4 linked regions of the Sus scrofa genome follow. The protein of the gene in region 1 interacts with the protein of each later gene in a pairwise test. Links are inferred from orthologs where the notes say so. Each region holds a gene or a part of one and is shown in the gene's direction. Other genes may lie near its edges. The genes, in order: ATN1, WWP1, LENG8 and WWP2.

Evidence for each region.
Region 2: the proteins of ATN1 (region 1) and WWP1 interact in a two-hybrid assay, tested with the Homo sapiens proteins (2 studies listed by BioGRID and IntAct). The link is inferred for Sus scrofa from reciprocal best matches to the Homo sapiens genes ATN1 and WWP1.
Region 3: the proteins of ATN1 (region 1) and LENG8 interact in a two-hybrid assay, tested with the Homo sapiens proteins (2 studies listed by BioGRID and IntAct). The link is inferred for Sus scrofa from reciprocal best matches to the Homo sapiens genes ATN1 and LENG8.
Region 4: the proteins of ATN1 (region 1) and WWP2 interact in a two-hybrid assay, tested with the Homo sapiens proteins (2 studies listed by BioGRID and IntAct). The link is inferred for Sus scrofa from reciprocal best matches to the Homo sapiens genes ATN1 and WWP2.

What each region holds. Positions count from the first base shown.
Region 1 is NC_010447.5:63,792,590-63,796,885, reverse strand, and holds the start of ATN1 (atrophin-1), read left to right. Parts: upstream 1-1,500; 5' UTR 1,501-1,510; intron 1,511-1,652; coding exon of another isoform or gene 1,653-1,813; intron 1,814-2,854; coding exon of another isoform or gene 2,855-2,897; intron 2,898-4,296. Other genes in the region: uncharacterized protein LOC110260590, read right to left, coding at 646-1,500, 1,653-1,813, 2,855-2,897. UniProt on the Homo sapiens protein: Transcriptional corepressor. Recruits NR2E1 to repress transcription. Promotes vascular smooth cell (VSMC) migration and orientation. Corepressor of MTG8 transcriptional repression.
Region 2 is NC_010446.5:50,387,617-50,390,977, reverse strand, and holds the end of WWP1 (NEDD4-like E3 ubiquitin-protein ligase WWP1), read left to right. Parts: intron 1-1,559; coding exon 1,560-1,659; 3' UTR 1,660-2,831; downstream 2,832-3,361. UniProt on the Homo sapiens protein: E3 ubiquitin-protein ligase which accepts ubiquitin from an E2 ubiquitin-conjugating enzyme in the form of a thioester and then directly transfers the ubiquitin to targeted substrates.
Region 3 is NC_010448.4:58,861,139-58,864,700, reverse strand, and holds part of LENG8 (leukocyte receptor cluster member 8), read left to right. Parts: intron 1-119; coding exon 120-405; intron 406-899; coding exon 900-1,001; intron 1,002-1,102; coding exon 1,103-1,171; intron 1,172-1,318; coding exon 1,319-1,448; intron 1,449-1,531; coding exon 1,532-2,268; 3' UTR 2,269-3,240; coding exon of another isoform or gene 3,241-3,403; 3' UTR 3,404-3,562.
Region 4 is NC_010448.4:17,225,150-17,229,275, reverse strand, and holds the start of WWP2 (NEDD4-like E3 ubiquitin-protein ligase WWP2), read left to right. Parts: upstream 1-1,293; 5' UTR 1,294-1,437; intron 1,438-1,584; exon of another isoform or gene 1,585-1,928; intron 1,929-4,126. UniProt on the Homo sapiens protein: E3 ubiquitin-protein ligase which accepts ubiquitin from an E2 ubiquitin-conjugating enzyme in the form of a thioester and then directly transfers the ubiquitin to targeted substrates.

The sequences.
Region 1 (4,296 bases):
CCTAATCTTCTTTACACCCCCCTCCACTTTGGCCCCATTCTGTCCACCCTGTCTTGCCCACAGACACCCTTCTCCACTCTTTTGGAACCCCCCACCCCCAGAACCCAGCCGTCCCTGTCCCCCACTTTCTCTTCCCACCCAGAACCCAGTCCTCCTCGAATATGCACCTGGCCCCACCTCCTTCATCCTTTCTTAAGGTTCTTCTAGCTTTGCTTTCTCTTTCCCCATGACATCACTAGGTTTGTCATTCCCCCAACTTCTTACCTTCCCCATCCCTTTGTCAACACCAGTCACCCCCAAACTCTTCACTCTCCTCCAGAAATCCCGTTCTCCTGTATATGTCTCCATCTTTTCAATATCTTCCCCTCCTTATGACCCCCAAACTTCCAGCCCCTTTGCACGATTGCCTCCCAAACCTTTCCTGCTACGCTAGGTGTCTGCCAGACACTATCACCCCAAGCTTCTTTCACCTCCCCTGTCACACATCTCATTGTCCCCAGGAAGCTCTGTCTCGCCCCAACCTAACCCCATTACCCCATCTCTGCTACATACCCACAACCTCCCCCCTTGCCTCTGCCACACAGCCCTGGGCCCCCAAACTTCTCCAGCCTCCCCCATCTCTGCCCCTACAACCCACGGCTCCTCCTACCCAGCCCGCTCCCGCGCCAGGCCCGCGGGCTCCCCGCATTCCGCCACGGCGAACCCCTCCCCGCGCCCCGGCCCCCTCGGCCTCGGTCTTGGCCAACTCGCGCGGCGCCTCCCCCTTTCCGATCCCCCTCTCCGCCCCTCCTCGCCGCTCGCCTCGCGCTCCCTCCCTCGCGGCTCCCTCCCTGCCCCTCTCTCCTCCGTTCCTCCGCGCTCCCTCCTTCTCCCTCTTCCTCCCTTCTCCCATCCCCCTCTCCCAGGCTCCCTCCCTTCGCCGTCCGCTTTCCTGTGCGAGTCGCCGGACGCGCCGCCCAGCCCGCCCGCCCGCAGCCCCGCGTCGGGCCGGGGCCTCGGGCCGGGACCCGTTTCAGGGGGACCGCCGGCCTCAGGGAGGAGCCAGGAGGGGGCGAGGGAGAAGACCGCCCGGGAAGGGGCGGGGGCCGCGGGCGGAGGCCGCCTAGGGGGCCGGGGATCGCGCAAGTGCGGGCTGCGCGGGGCGGGCGCGGGCGGCTGGCGGGAGGCAGCGGGTCGGAGCCGCGCGGAGGGCCGGCCTGGCCGCGGGGGCGGACGGGCGGCGCGGCCCGGACGTTCTGGGCAGCCGGGGTAGGCGGCGGGCCTGGGGAGGGGCAGAACTAGAGCGGGGACTGGGATTTGCTTCGGGGGCCGGCGGGCGATCGGGGCCAGGTGGGGGAAGAGGGAAGATGGGGGCCGCCCTCCGGGGGGGTCGGGGCCGCCGCCGCCGCCGTCGCGGCGGCGACTGAAGCCGGAAAGAGAGGGGGGCGGGGGAGCGGCCGCCGCCGCCCCCAGAGGCGCCGGAGCCCCAAATCCCGTTCGGAGCCAGCCAGCCGTCCCGAGCTACAAACAGGTAAGATCTGCTGCCGCCCGGGCCTTGCGCTCGCCCGGGTTCTGGCCCGCGGCTCCCCACCCCCACCCCTCCCAGTTCCCCCTCCTGCCGCCGCCGCCGCCGCCGCCTCCATTTGTTATTTTTCCCCGATCTGGTCCCCTACTGCGGGCCCTGGCTGGCCTGAGACTGGGGGCTCAGGGGGTGGGGCCGGCCCCGGAGGAGGGATGGGGGCCTGGACGCCCGGAGGATCAGGAAGGTGGGGGGAGGTGGGAGAGTCACAGGAGGAGGGCTGGTGGGGCGGGAGTGTGGCCAGAATCCCGGGACCTAAAGAGGAACCCCCGAGGTGGAGGGTTGGCGCAGGAAAACCGGGATGCCCGTCAGGGGGGCCTCGGGGCGAAGGCAAAAAGGAATGGAGAGATGGCAACGAGGTGGGGCAGGAGGACTCCAGGAAAAGCCTCAAAGGCCCAGAACCCGGTTTCAGATCCTGGGGTTCGGGGTGCTAGGTATAGAAGGGAGGTGGGAAATGGGGAAGGGGTGTGGTAGGTGGAAAGAGAGGGATTGTAGCTGATGAGGGAGGAGAATGGAACTGAGGGGGGCTCAGAGATGGCCGAGGAGAGGGCCACCCTTGAAAAGAAGGGGAGGTGCTCCCGAGTGGAAGTGGGAAGGCGATGCCTTTGTGACTCAATTTTCTTTCCTCTACTCCAGGTCACCTCTGACCTTGTTTTTGCAATCCCAGACATAGGTGCTTCTTGGAGAGGGGCACGCTAGGGCCTGGTAGTGTGGGTCCTCCCGCAACTGATGAGGAAGATGCGAACACTGAAGGGAGAGTTTAGGGAGGAAGGGTTTCCGGGAGGGTGGAAAAAGAGGGGAGCATTTGGGCAATCTTACAGGCACACCAAACAAGTCGTGACCCCCACCCTCAAACCCCCAGAACACCCCTGCGCCTCTAGCTGTGGTTTCCTTAAGCGGTGGGTGGATCTTCATTAGTGTTTTGTGCTCCGAGATTTCCCTTTGTGCGTAGACTTTTTTTCTGCCGGGGTAGGTACTCTTAAGCTCCCTTCCCTGAGGGTGCTGTAGGAGGACAGGAGTTGCTTTGGCAACTGGAGGGGGAGTGACTGGTAGATGGACCCCTGGGACAGACTCTTGAGGGGCAAGTTCTGCCTCTTCGTTGCCATGGCAGTGACCCAGTGGGATGTCCAATAGATGGGGGTTCTGCATCTCCACTGGGCCTTTCAGCCTCTGGCTATGTCCTTGGGACGCTCGGCTGGATTCTGAAGGATGTTTCGGGTGCTGCTGGTGGAGAGGAGTTTCCCCAAGGGTCCACCGTGTCCACCCAGCAGTCTTTGGAACAGGTAGACATGTTACTTGCAGGTGGTAGTTGTTTCTCCAGGTCCCTCCCCTTAGGCATGGTGGGAGGATGGGAATGCTCCTGTTCCAAGTTATACCATCTTTTGGCAGTTCTTGCTGGCCTCTATCTCCCTTGTTATTAGGAAGTTTTTGGATGGTCTTGTTGCTTCTTTGCACAGATATTCTTCCATTTTCTTCACCTTGAGTCTTCCTGCCCAAGTATCCCTTTTCCTCTGTCCCAGACTCTTCCCCACAGTAACGCCTTCGCTCATCTGACCTCCAACCTTCCGTTTCTCTGAACTTGTAGGGATGGCTGGGCTCTCCACGCGCCTCCCAGGTGAGGGTCCCCCAGGGGAGAGGGCTGTAAAACAGCCTGGTGCAGTGGAAATATTCCAGAACAGGAGCCTGGAGACCTGGGTCTAGTCCTGGCTGTACCTACTAACTGTGACCTTGGGCAAGTCACTTCCCTTTGAGCCTTGGCTTCATTGTCCGATGAAGGGGTTGTAGATAAGATGATATCTGAGGCCCCGCTGACAACTGTAGATTCTAAGGCTTAGGCCAATGCCTTGTTATCTGCTGGCCTGGGCTACATTGTTATCTAGGAGTTACTTTGGACTGGTTTGTTAGTCTGGCAGGTTTGGAATGATGGTGGGGGCTGGGCCAGTGGTCTTGAAATTTACCCTGCAAGCCCATCCTGGAAATCCTTGTGCCTTGGATATAATGCAGTCTTTCTGATATCTTCCTCATATTGCTCCCTTAATTTCTTTTCCTGTTCTTACTTTGAGACTATTTCCCTATCTTTGGTGCCTAGGCTTAGTGTTTTGCAGATACATAGTAGGTGCTTTATAAATCAGAGAAGGAATCTGAGCTACTCTTAGCGCAGCTTGTTGGTGCTGAAATATGCTCCAGGTTCAGGAAGGTCCGTGCAACCCAACCCTACCTCTTTCTCGCTCCTGCCACTCCTTATCCCCAGGGTCACCTACCTTTTATGAGTGCTTTTCTCCTTCAGAGCTCCTCATTGCTAATTTTATCAGATTCCAGCTGATTAAAAAAGTTAGGGTGGGGGCGGGGGCACACCAGGCTTTCTCTGTTCTTCAAGAACATTTTGCTGCTTTCCTCTGGCCTTTTGGATCCCATAACTCTCACCGACAGTGAACAAGTTCTGGGATAGGAAGGAGGGATGAGCACCTGCCTTTAGACGAGCTGGCAGAGACACATGAGGCACAGTTTTTTCTGTTGTACTTTTGTTGGGATTATTTTCCCCTTTGGTTATGTTGGGTTTTGTTCTTTAGGGTTTTGGAGGGTTGACGATATTTGAAAACCAATGTACCGAACAGCTCAATACTGTGGTAAATAGTTGTAGTGGAAGAGAAATGACCTGTTTACGGGGCTCTAAGTTCAGAAGACCTGAGGCTCTGTCCCAGCTCTTTTGTGACTCTTAAGTAAATTGTTATTAAGTT
Region 2 (3,361 bases), on another chromosome or scaffold:
ATAATTAGTAAAATTTTTATAGGCAGAAAAGGATATTCTAGAACACAGGAGAGCCATAAGAGCATGGTCATAGAACAGATAAGTATGTTTAGAACTTTAAATAAGCTGATGGGGGTGCTATTCCAAACAGCATAGGCTTTTTTAAACTGGCGTGTTTTCTTAAAGTACCCCAGGCCGTGATAAAAGGCTAGATAGGTTGTGAAGAATTTTTTTTTTTAAATGGATGAAGGATCAGCACACAGGAAATTCTGATAAGAGATGATGGGAAAATACATACAGAGGAGATACTGGTAGCAGTAGTAATGATCAGGAGGGAAAAGATAGCAGAGATTTAGTAGATAGAATGACAGACTGACAAAGGCAGTGACTGTCGGTATGGGGACTAAGATGTTCTGAAAAGAACATCATTTTAATTGGCTGCCTTGGTTCAAAAGGCTCTTTCTTGATTCTTACATAGGAGTAGAGGGCAAGGGCAAGTAGGAACTGGTAAGAGTGGTAGAAGGGAACTGAATGATCTATAGACACCTTCCACATGAGAAAATAAAAGTACTAAAAGGTTTTCACTTCTCGGAGCTGTTCTCATTAGGCAGAAGTGGGGACAGGACTAACCGCTGTGGTGCAGTGGGTTAAGAATCCGACTGCAGTGGCTCAGGTCATGGTGGAGGCGCAGGTGTGATCCCTGGCCCGACACAGTGGGTTAAAGGATCTGGAGATCCTGCACCTGAGGCTTGGATTCAATCCTTAGCCTAGGAACTTCCATATACTGCCGGTATGGCCATATTGTGGGGACCAAAACCCTGGACTCTAGAATCTCATCCAGCTACTCAGTGCTAAATCTTTAAAAAGTGTTATTCCACACCTTAGTAAATTGTAAAACAATACATTGACATCTTAAGCATTTTTAATATTTTCTGTATTTCATCAGTTAATCCCAACAGGGAACTCTTTGAGTCTGGCAAGACTGTAAGCATATTGTTTTAGAAGTGATTATACATATGATGGGATTATTGGAAAGGAAAATGTATGTATTTGGTTATTGACGGTCTCCATCCTAGAAAGTAAGTTTGATGAGGACAATGACTAGTTTTTCATCACTGTATCATTAGCTCCTGGAAAAATAACTGGTACATAAAAAATTTTCAATAAATAACTGATGAATGAGTTAGTGGGTGAGTGAGTGAAAGACAGACTCTTTAACCCAAGAAAAGTTAGGGAGACTTATGATACAGTGTAACAATAATAGTATTAAAAAGAAGAATTAGTTATTTAAAAATTCCAGTGTTTTTATACGTATTGCTATAATTATTTGTAATTCTAGTTTTCTCTGGGAAACATTAAAATTTTATGGCTAGGTCTTAAATTTGAATAGACTGCTATAAGAAAGTCTGTACATTTAATATTACAATCATTAAGTAAATTGTTAGAATACTTCTAGCAAGATTTTGACATTCTTCCTCTATCCATTTAGTTTTTCAAATGTGCTTTAAAAAATATTGTGTTAGAAATCTTTTCAGTTTGTTTTATTGAAAACGTCTGATTTTGTTTTTGTTTTTGTTCAGTTTTAATCGCTTGGATCTACCACCATATAAGAGTTATGAACAACTAAAGGAAAAACTTCTTTTTGCAATAGAAGAGACAGAGGGATTTGGACAAGAATGAATATGGCTTCTTGTCTTGGAGGAGCTCTTGCATTTAAATACCCCAGCCAAGAAAAATTGCACAGATAGTGTATATAAGCTGTTCATTATGTACAGTGAATTTTCTGAACCTCTCAAAGTATAAATGTTTTCCGTTCTTCCACAGAAATATGCAAAACAGCTCATCCTTTTCTACTTTATTTATTGTTCCCTTGAAGTGACTGACCAGGAAAAAGATCATCCTTAAATTTTCAAGCAAACAAGAGACTTTATTAAAAATAATAAGTATATATCTATATAAGCATTTATGATAGTGGCTCTAGTTTTATAGAGCTCTGAGTGTATTAACATGACAGCCATTCATTCAAAAATAATCTGGATTTGTTTTACCTTGTTTCTGTTATCCAGGGAAAGTACAAATTGCTCCATGTTTTTTCTCCCTTTTGTAACATCTCCTGAAGGTGTTTAGTTGCATGGCTGTTCAGGAAGGTATTAAGGGCTTAGGCCAAATCTTACTTTGAATATGTTAAAAATGCTGCTGGCTTTTTGAAAGACAGGTGCTTGAACCTGTCAATTTGTTTTAAATAAATATAATAGTTGAAAAATTTCCCTCTTTGCTACATCACTAATACTGTTAAATTCATGAATGAAACCATAACTTAAATGAAAGTCGTGTACTAACTAGATCCATTACATTTAGTTTATTCTAGAAATTAGAATTCATTGAGCAGCATAGAGGTTTGTTTACATGTTACTTTGGGATGCTAGGTATTTGTGGGATTAAAGAGAATCAGGCACTTCTGTACTTTAGTTTTAAAATTTGTAATGTTCTTTAAATTCATAATAAATTGATGCAATTTGATACTTAGGAACATATGAAAAGGTAATGTGAACTTTTCTGCTTTTGTGTTCAAAGTTTTGGTTTTATAAAGCCAGATGGATTGAAGACTTAAATAAGCATTCAAACACTCAAATAAGTCTAATGATTCTCTGTTACTGTTTGAATATCTTCATTCCTCTTAAAATCACAAAAATTCTGTGTATCTGAATAAGTATAAAAAAATATTTTGCCCCCGCCCTTTTTACATAGATTATTTTGTCCTAAATAAATAACACTTTGTTTTTCACTATCAAGGGCATTTGCTGAACTGCAAAGATGTATAACAAATTAAAATCTGATGTGAATGATATTAATGCTACTTTAACAAGCTGGGCTTCCTTAATATAAAAATTTAAATTTACATTTGTATCATGATTTCAGTATGCACTGTAAATTTCAATAACTTAGAAATTGTTTTATAACCATGAGAGTGACGTCTTAGAATGTTATCTGTAACATTTCACTAAGTACATACAGAAAATACTAGTATACAGTTTAATTTCCCTAAAAAATAGTTTTTATTTCGCCAAAGTTTTATTTTTCTACATATTATTTTAGATTGTGTTTTGCATTTTTATTCAAAACGCATAGTAAAAATGAAATAAAGTCAGTGATCCACTTGGGTTGAATAACTCCTTTCCCAAATTCTGATTACTGACATTCTAATTATTTTCAAGCCTAAAGAATTGAAAACAAAACAAACTAATGTATAGGGCAGACTATGCAATAGAGGTGACCAGTCTTCAAAAGGGCTACTTATTATACCATGAAAGAACCACTGCTGGATGAATTTTGCCATGACAGAAGTTACCATCATTCAGTAATGTGAGAACACCATGTAGCA
Region 3 (3,562 bases), on another chromosome or scaffold:
GTGAGCCTGGGGGACCAGGGAGGAGGCTGCATCTCGTGGGAGCACTGGCGCGGCCGGGGGCTGAGGCTGGCGGGCGCTGTGCCACCTCCCCCAGCCCAGGACCCCTCGTCCCTCCCCAGGCATGATCTAGCGCCCACCAAGCGCAGCCGCAAGAAGATGGCGGCCCTGGAGTGCGAGGACCCTGAGCGCGAGCTGAAGAAGCAGAAGCGGGCGGCGCGCTTCCAGCACGGCCATTCCCGCCGCCTGCGCCTGGAGCCCCTGGTGCTGCAGATGGGCAGCCTGGAGAACAGCGGGGCCGACCCCGACTGGCAGGAGCTGCAGATCGTGGGCACCTGCCCTGACATCACCAAGCACTACCTGCGTCTCACCTGCGCCCCAGACCCGTCCACTGTGCGCCCCGTGTCCGTAAGTGCCCCCTGGCAGGCAGGCTGGGGCCCAGCGAGGTCAGCAGAGGCGGAGGAGGTGCAGGCAGGCCGGCCTGGGGGAGACCCCAAGCTCTGTGCGGGGTGTGGGGGGCTGTGGCTGACAGGGACTCGAGGGGAACTGGACCCCAGGACTCAGGCTTTGGAGCCACGGCGAGGGCATGTGGCCCTCTCGGGAGGCTTGGCTGGCCTCTGAGCCTTCCTCCTGCGAACAAGGTGGGGAGGGCGATGTCACTTTCCCAGGCCAGGGCCTGTGAGACCCTGGAACATGCACGCCCGGCGTCCCCAGGCCCACACACGGCCACGTGTTGACGTGGAGACCAAGGCCTGGGGCTGTTGATGCGTCTGTTCTGGGTTCTTGTGAGCATCAGGTTTGATGTCGCAGCCCTCCTCTTAGAACGAGTGCATGGAAGGAACTGGAGCAGGTCCTTGTCCTTGTGGCAAAGTCACACAGAGCCTGTGTTCACCTGCTTCCAGGTTTTGAAGAAGTCGCTGTGCATGGTCAAGTCCCACTGGAAGGAGAAGCAGGACTACGCCTTTGCCTGTGAGCAGATGAAGTCCATCCGGCAGGACCTGACGGTGAGGCGGGTGCCGGGAGGGGCCGGAGGCCGCTCGGTGGATTCCCCCCCGTCCCCCCCCCGCCCCCCGCTCGGTTGTGACGGCCGCTGGCCTGCCCTCAGGTGCAAGGTGTGCGAACTGAGTTCACGGTGGAGGTGTACGAGACACATGCCCGCATCGCCTTGGAGAAGGTGAGTGGGCTGGCGCGGCCCGGCTCCCCCGCCCTGCTGGCCTCGTGCTGCTCTGCTCCCCCCTCGCCCCCCACCCCACCACCACGCTGCTTCCCCCCTCGCCCCGTTCCCCCTCACCCCACTGCTCCCCCCCTCGCCCGCCCACAGGGAGACCACGAAGAGTTCAACCAGTGCCAGACGCAGCTCAAGTCCCTGTACGCCGAGAACTTGCCGGGCAACGTGGGCGAGTTCACTGCCTACCGCATCCTCTACTACATCTTCACCAAGAACTCAGGAGGTGAGAGGCACAGTCCGGCAGGTCAGGCGGCCACAGGCCCCCCGAGTCCGGCCCGGCTGACCCCCGCCTTGTTGTGGCCGCAGACATCACCACGGAGCTGGCCTACCTGACGCGGGAACTGAAAGCGGACCCTTGTGTGGCCCACGCCTTGGCACTCCGGGCCGCCTGGGCTCTGGGCAACTACCACCGCTTCTTCCGGCTCTACTCCCACGCGCCCTGTATGTCTGGCTACCTCGTGGACAAGTTTGCAGACCGGGAGCGCAAGGCTGCCCTCAAGGCTATGATCAAAACGTATGTGAAGCCGAGCTTCCCTGCTGTCCCTCTGCTCTGCGGCAGCCGCCGCCCTCGTTCCCCCTCCCTCTCTCCCCTGCTCTGCCCTCAGGGGTCACCAGGCCTCCAGCTCCCCTCCCCGGTCTCGCTCCCCGGGTCACCTTCCCACACTCTGCCGTTCTCGCCAGGCCTCCTGCTCTTCTGCACACCGCCCTCCTCTGTGTCCCTCCCTCCGTCACTCTCTCGCTCAGGGCTCGTGGGTCCCCCTGCTCGCATCACCTGGACCCCAGTTGTCTCCTTGCTCCGGCCTCCCCTCCCGCTTTCCTCTCCGGTCACTGGGCCCTGCTCTCTGGGGACAACCAGCAGAGCTGGCCCTACCCTCGGCAGCTGTGGTCAGAGGGTCAAGGACCCGGTCCCCTTGAGCTCCTCCGAGAGCAGGCGTGACGTGGGGCAAGCTAGGCCCGGACAGCACTCAGCAGGGTGCCCTCCGTTCACCACAAGGGGTGGGCTCACTGTTATGGTGGGAGGGAGGCGCCCCGGGGTAAGGTGATGGCAGCACACAGCGTCCCGCGTCACAGCCCGGGTGCGCCTGGCCTCCCCCAGGGGCCTTGAATGTTGAAGGGAGAGTGGGGCCCAGGCAGTGGAGGGGAAGGAGTGGGGCACAAACAGGGGGTAGGGTGTATGGGACCTGCTTTCCAGCCGAGGACCCAGGAGGGGACCCTGGCTGCCCCGAGTGCTGCTCCCGGGGCCATAGCGGACAGGTTACCATTTCTCCTTGTTTTTCACGCCCTTGGCCTTGTGTTCTTCTTCCTCCCGCCACTGAAGGTGGTGCCACTTCTCCTGGGCAGAGCCGGTTGGGCCTGGGCCAGCTTCGGAGTTGGGGGTGCAGGGTGGGCTGCAGCCTCTCCTATGCCCCCCCGGGAGGGACATCCAGGGTGGCAACAGTGTTTTTAGGCTTGAGGCAAGACTGGTTCAAATACTTTCTGCCAGTTACTGCCCAGGCGACACTGGCCAAGTGGCTTTGTTCTCGGGTCTGTAAAGGTAGGACCGCACAGCTTAGGGAGGTGGGGAGGGAGTTCATGCTGCGGCACCTGGAAGAGCTCATTCCCGGCGCCGGCTGGGCCTCCGACCAGCCAGGTCCCCCAGGGTAGCCGTCAGCCCTGCCGCCCCGTGCCTGTCCCCTGCCCCTCGGTCACAGTGGGCCTTCTTCTGAGGGTCTGCCCAGGCCCCAGCCAGCAGAAGAGCTGGCGGGGCCCTTCCCTCCTAGTCCCTCCTCCCGGTCCCCCCACCCCTGCACAGGTAAGTGAGGGCGAGGGGGGGCGCAGCCGGGGCTGGGGCTCCCAACCCCACCCCGGGCCCCCCCGAGCCCGAGGTGGGGAGGCTGTGGGCTGGTGGTGGGGTCAGCAGGTAACGTGCTGAGGAAACCTTTTGGGTACCTGAATGGGGGGGCACCCACTCCCTGCTCGTGGGGCGCTCCCCAGTCCGCCGCCCGCCTCATCGCATTCTCCTCTTGTCTCCGTAGCTTCCGCCCTGCGCTGCCAGTCTCCTACCTGCAGGCCGAGCTGGCCTTCGAGGGCGAGGCCGCCTGCCGGGCCTTCCTAGAGCCCCTAGGCCTGGCCTACACGGGCCCGGACAACTCCAGCATCGACTGCCGCCTCAGCCTGGCGCAGCTGTCAGCCTTCTGAGCACCAGCGCCGACGGGGGCGGGGGGCAGGGCTGCAGCCCCCCAGCACCGCCTTGGCACATTTTGTTTTTGAGCCATGGACTTGGGTTGTAAATTAATTTGTGGGGATTGGGCTCCAGGACGAGCCACCACCCCTGCCCCCGTTTTCCCACCGGGGAGT
Region 4 (4,126 bases), on another chromosome or scaffold:
CTGAAGCAGGGTACTGAGTGGAAGAGTAGTTGGAGATGAGGTGAGAGAAATAAAGAAGTTTGAATAGGTTTATAGATGGGATTCATATAGGAATTACGGTATTCAGAAAGGCTGTAGCTCCTTGAAAGGCCATCTCCTGGATGGATCTGGAGTGGAAATAGGAAAAGCAGAGACTAAGTGCTCAACCAATTTAATTTGTATGCATAATAGGATCACTCTGAACGGGAAGACCCAAAAATAACAGAATAATCAGTGCACAGTGCTTAAAGCTAATTAAGTGATTAGTCTTCATTTTAGTTTGTGGTGATGAAGAGTGAAAAATTGAGCCTTCCTTCAACTTGTCAAAACTGAATTCCCTACCATCAGTAAAGTATATTGATTAATTTTTTTTTCTAATTCATAAAGTGCTATTGACTCTTTATATTAAGGAAATAGGGGTTCGATTGGTGTGGTGGGCATTTTACCAACCCCAGCAAGGGTTCTGGAGTCTTTTTACTTTTGCTTTATGTCACAAGAACAGATGCTCCGGAGTTCCCATCGTGGCTCAGTGGTTAATGAATCCGACTAGGAACCAGGAGGTTGTGGGTTCGATCCCTGGCCTTGCTCAGTCGGCTGAGGATCTGGCATTGAGGATCTGGCGTTGCCCTGAGCTGTGGTGTAGGTTGCAGACGCGGCTCGGATCCCGCGTTGCTGTGGCTCTGGCGTAGGCCGGCGGCTACAGCTCCGATTAGACCCCTAGCCTGGGAACCTCCATATGCCGTGGAAGCGGGCCAAGAAATGGCAAAAAGACAAAACAAAACAAAACAGATGCTCCACAAAAGTTACTTTTGTGTGTTTCTAGAATCTAGAACCCTGCCTGGCACATAGTAGGCTTAAGGTTGTCAGGTATAGCAAATTAAAACCCAATTTGCCCAATTAAATATGAGCATCAACCACAAATAGTTTTTTAGTATAAACATGTACCAGGCAGTATTTGGGGCACACCTACATATTACATATTTTTTATCTTAAGTTCATATTTAACTGGGTGCCCTGTATTTTATCTGGTGACCCTAGGATATTTTAAGTCAGTAAATTAACCGCTGACTTAATTGACTGAAAGCCTCCTTTCACCTGTGAAATGGGGCTGACAGAGACGCCCCTGGGCTCGATGGGAGGAGTAAATGAAGCTCCTGGCACTCACCGAGCCCTCAATTTACTTGATTGCTCGGGTACCATCTGACGAGGGGAAAACCCTCCCATTTTTAAACATACAAAGGATAAGAAGGCTTTCTGGCTAAAGGTTCCCAGGCCTGGCCTAGGTTGCCCACACCTGCAGGTACGGCCAGCCTCTTCCGGGTCAGGTGACCACGCGTGGTCACGTGACCTGGCCCGAGTGCGGGCGGTCGAAGGCGGAAGTGGGAGAGGAGTTGGGCTCCGCTTCTGTGGTCCCGTCAGGTAGCGAGCGCCGGCGCGGGGCAGCGCGGCGGGCAGGCTGGCGGGGGCGCGGGGCTGGCCTGGGGCAGCGGGCAGCGGGCAGCGCGGGGTGGGCCAGGGGCGGCGCGGCCCGGGCGCCGGGGGGCGGTGGCTTCCTGTGGGAGGGGCCTGGCGCGGCGGTTCCGGCCTCCGAGGAGGGGTGTCCCGGCTCCCGCCCGAGCGGGGTGGGCGCGCTGCGGGCGGTGCGGGGGCAACTCCGAGGTGGGCGCCAAGGCACGCATAAGTGCGGTGGCCAGCAAGTCCTCCTGGAAGGGACAAGCATCTTAGGTGCCAGGGATGAAGAGGAGTGACCTTTGTGGCGGGATCGGGACAGGAGGAAGGGGCAACTTGGGACTGAGCTAGAATGGGTCGCCTGAGAATTGGCGAACGACGTGGAAGGAAAAATCAGGAGGAAGATGCTGCCTGAACCGCGCTTGAGCGCCTCTTCCTTCCTTCCTCTTTGGCAATGATTGGTACCCGAGACTTTGATTTTGGTCCCATTCAGTTTCTAAACTTCAGGAGGGATCAGAGAATCTTGATCATTTTGCTTTCGTCACGCCCACTTAGTCCTGCTTGGGTAGGGTTTCTACTTCTTGAGAACCTAGCCTTTCAGATCATGTTTCTTTGAAATTTCCACAGATCAGATCAACTTCTGGGCTTAAGAAAAGAGCGTGGGCACTTTGCTCTGGCTGTAAAATGGCTTTTAGCTTAAACTGTTGAGCACGGTCCAATCCCAGCATTACCTCACCTAACAGCGACTGCAGTAACCTTGGCCGGTATCTACCTACCCTGCTTTATGACTTTTTCTTTCTTGAGTTTAAATTATTCAGTTTCCTTTGCCATGTGACTGCTTATCTTGACAAACTGTAACTAGCTAGCATGACTGGAAGGTCTGTGTTGTGTTCCATAGAACTGTGACCTGGATCATGATTTTGAGATTAAATACCTGTGTTAAGGCTGTTCACCCGCTTTTTCTTGTGTTTACTAACATTTGCAAAAGTGGAATGCATTTCATGGATGTGATGTAATAGAAGTGAATGTTCAAACTGGACAGTCCCAGGAGCTGGAGTTGTTTTGGGTTACAAGTAGGAAAAAAAAAAAAAGTACCTTGCTAATGTGTTTTGAGTTCAAGTTTTTAGAATGTTTGACAAACATTTAAAAATTGATTTCTGTGACAGCCCTGGGAGTTAGATTAGGAAGATGTTTATTCTCATTTCACAGTGAACAAACAGATCTCAGAAGACTGGATTTTGTTGACAATTTTTTTGTGTTTTCTTGTCTGCTGTTCTCTTTCTTTCTGATAGACTGCAAATTCCTCAAAGGGCGGGGTTTATATCTTATTTGGCTTATTTGGCAACTAGCCTGGAGCCAGGTGTGCTATGGGCACTTGGTAAGTTTTTGGTGAATAAATGAATTTCTAAAGGTCACAGACCTGTAAGTGGAGAAGAGATTTGAATCTGAGTCCTGCCTCTTCTTCTTGGTAAATGAGCTTGCCATTTTGTTGTTTGGTCTATAAGAAAATGATAGGTGTGGGGTTGGGTTGGCTTGGGTTGGCTTCTCAATCTCTTATTTAGTGACTACTTTCCCATAGTAAAAAAAGCTTATGGGAGTTCCCTGGTGGCTCAGCAGATTAAGGATCTGGCATTGTTACTGCTATGGCTGGAGTCACTGCTGTGACATGGGTTTGATCCCTGGCCCTCAAACTTCCACATCCACCTCCCCCCCCAAAAAAAGAAAAAAAGAGCTTATTCAGTCTTCATTATGATCCTCTGAAGGTTGAAATTGTCCCTATTCTGCAGTTGAAGAAACTGAGGCTTAGTGAAGTCCTTGTTTGAGAATCTAGAAGTCGTGAATGACTGAGCAGGGACTCATGCCCAGGCCTTTTATCCTTGGACCTATTCTTTTCCATTTTTAGATTCAATGTAAAGTTTCAAAAAAATGTTTTTTTCAAGTGTGCAAAGGATGACATTTTAAGGGGAAAATAGTATAGGTTATAGCAATAATTGTGAATATGGAGTGTAACTAAAGTTTAGAAAATCCTATGCTATACCATAGCTGCCTCTTTATTTTTTCATTTGGTGGCTATTTATAAGCACGAACTCTTTGCCAGGCATTGTTCTAGGGTTTTCATTGTTCAGATCCGTAGTCACTAGACACATGGGGCTGCCGAGTACAGGAGATAGGCTATGACTATACAATACATGCCAGATTTTGGAAGACTTAGTACAGAAAGATAAAGGTAAAATTTCTCATTAATTTTTAAAAAGATTATACTAAATGACCTTATAAATGTAATGTACTTATATGCTATAAATGGTAGCATTAAAGTTTATTGTCCTAAGTACAATAGAATTGAAATTTCCTTTGTTTAGTTTTTATTTTTATTTATTTATTTATTTTTTTGTCTTTTTGCCATTTCTCGGGCCGCTCTCGCGGCATATGGAGGTTCCCAGGCTAGGGGTCCAATCGGAGCTGTAGCCACCGGCCTACACCAGAGCCACAGCAACGCAGGATCCGAGCCGCGTCTGCAGCCTACACCACAGCTCACGGCAACGCCGGATCATTAACCCACTGAGCAAGGGCAGGGACCGGATCATTAACCCACTGAGCAAGGGCATGGTTCCTAGTCGGATTCGTTAACCACTGTGCCACGACAGGAACTCCCCCCCCC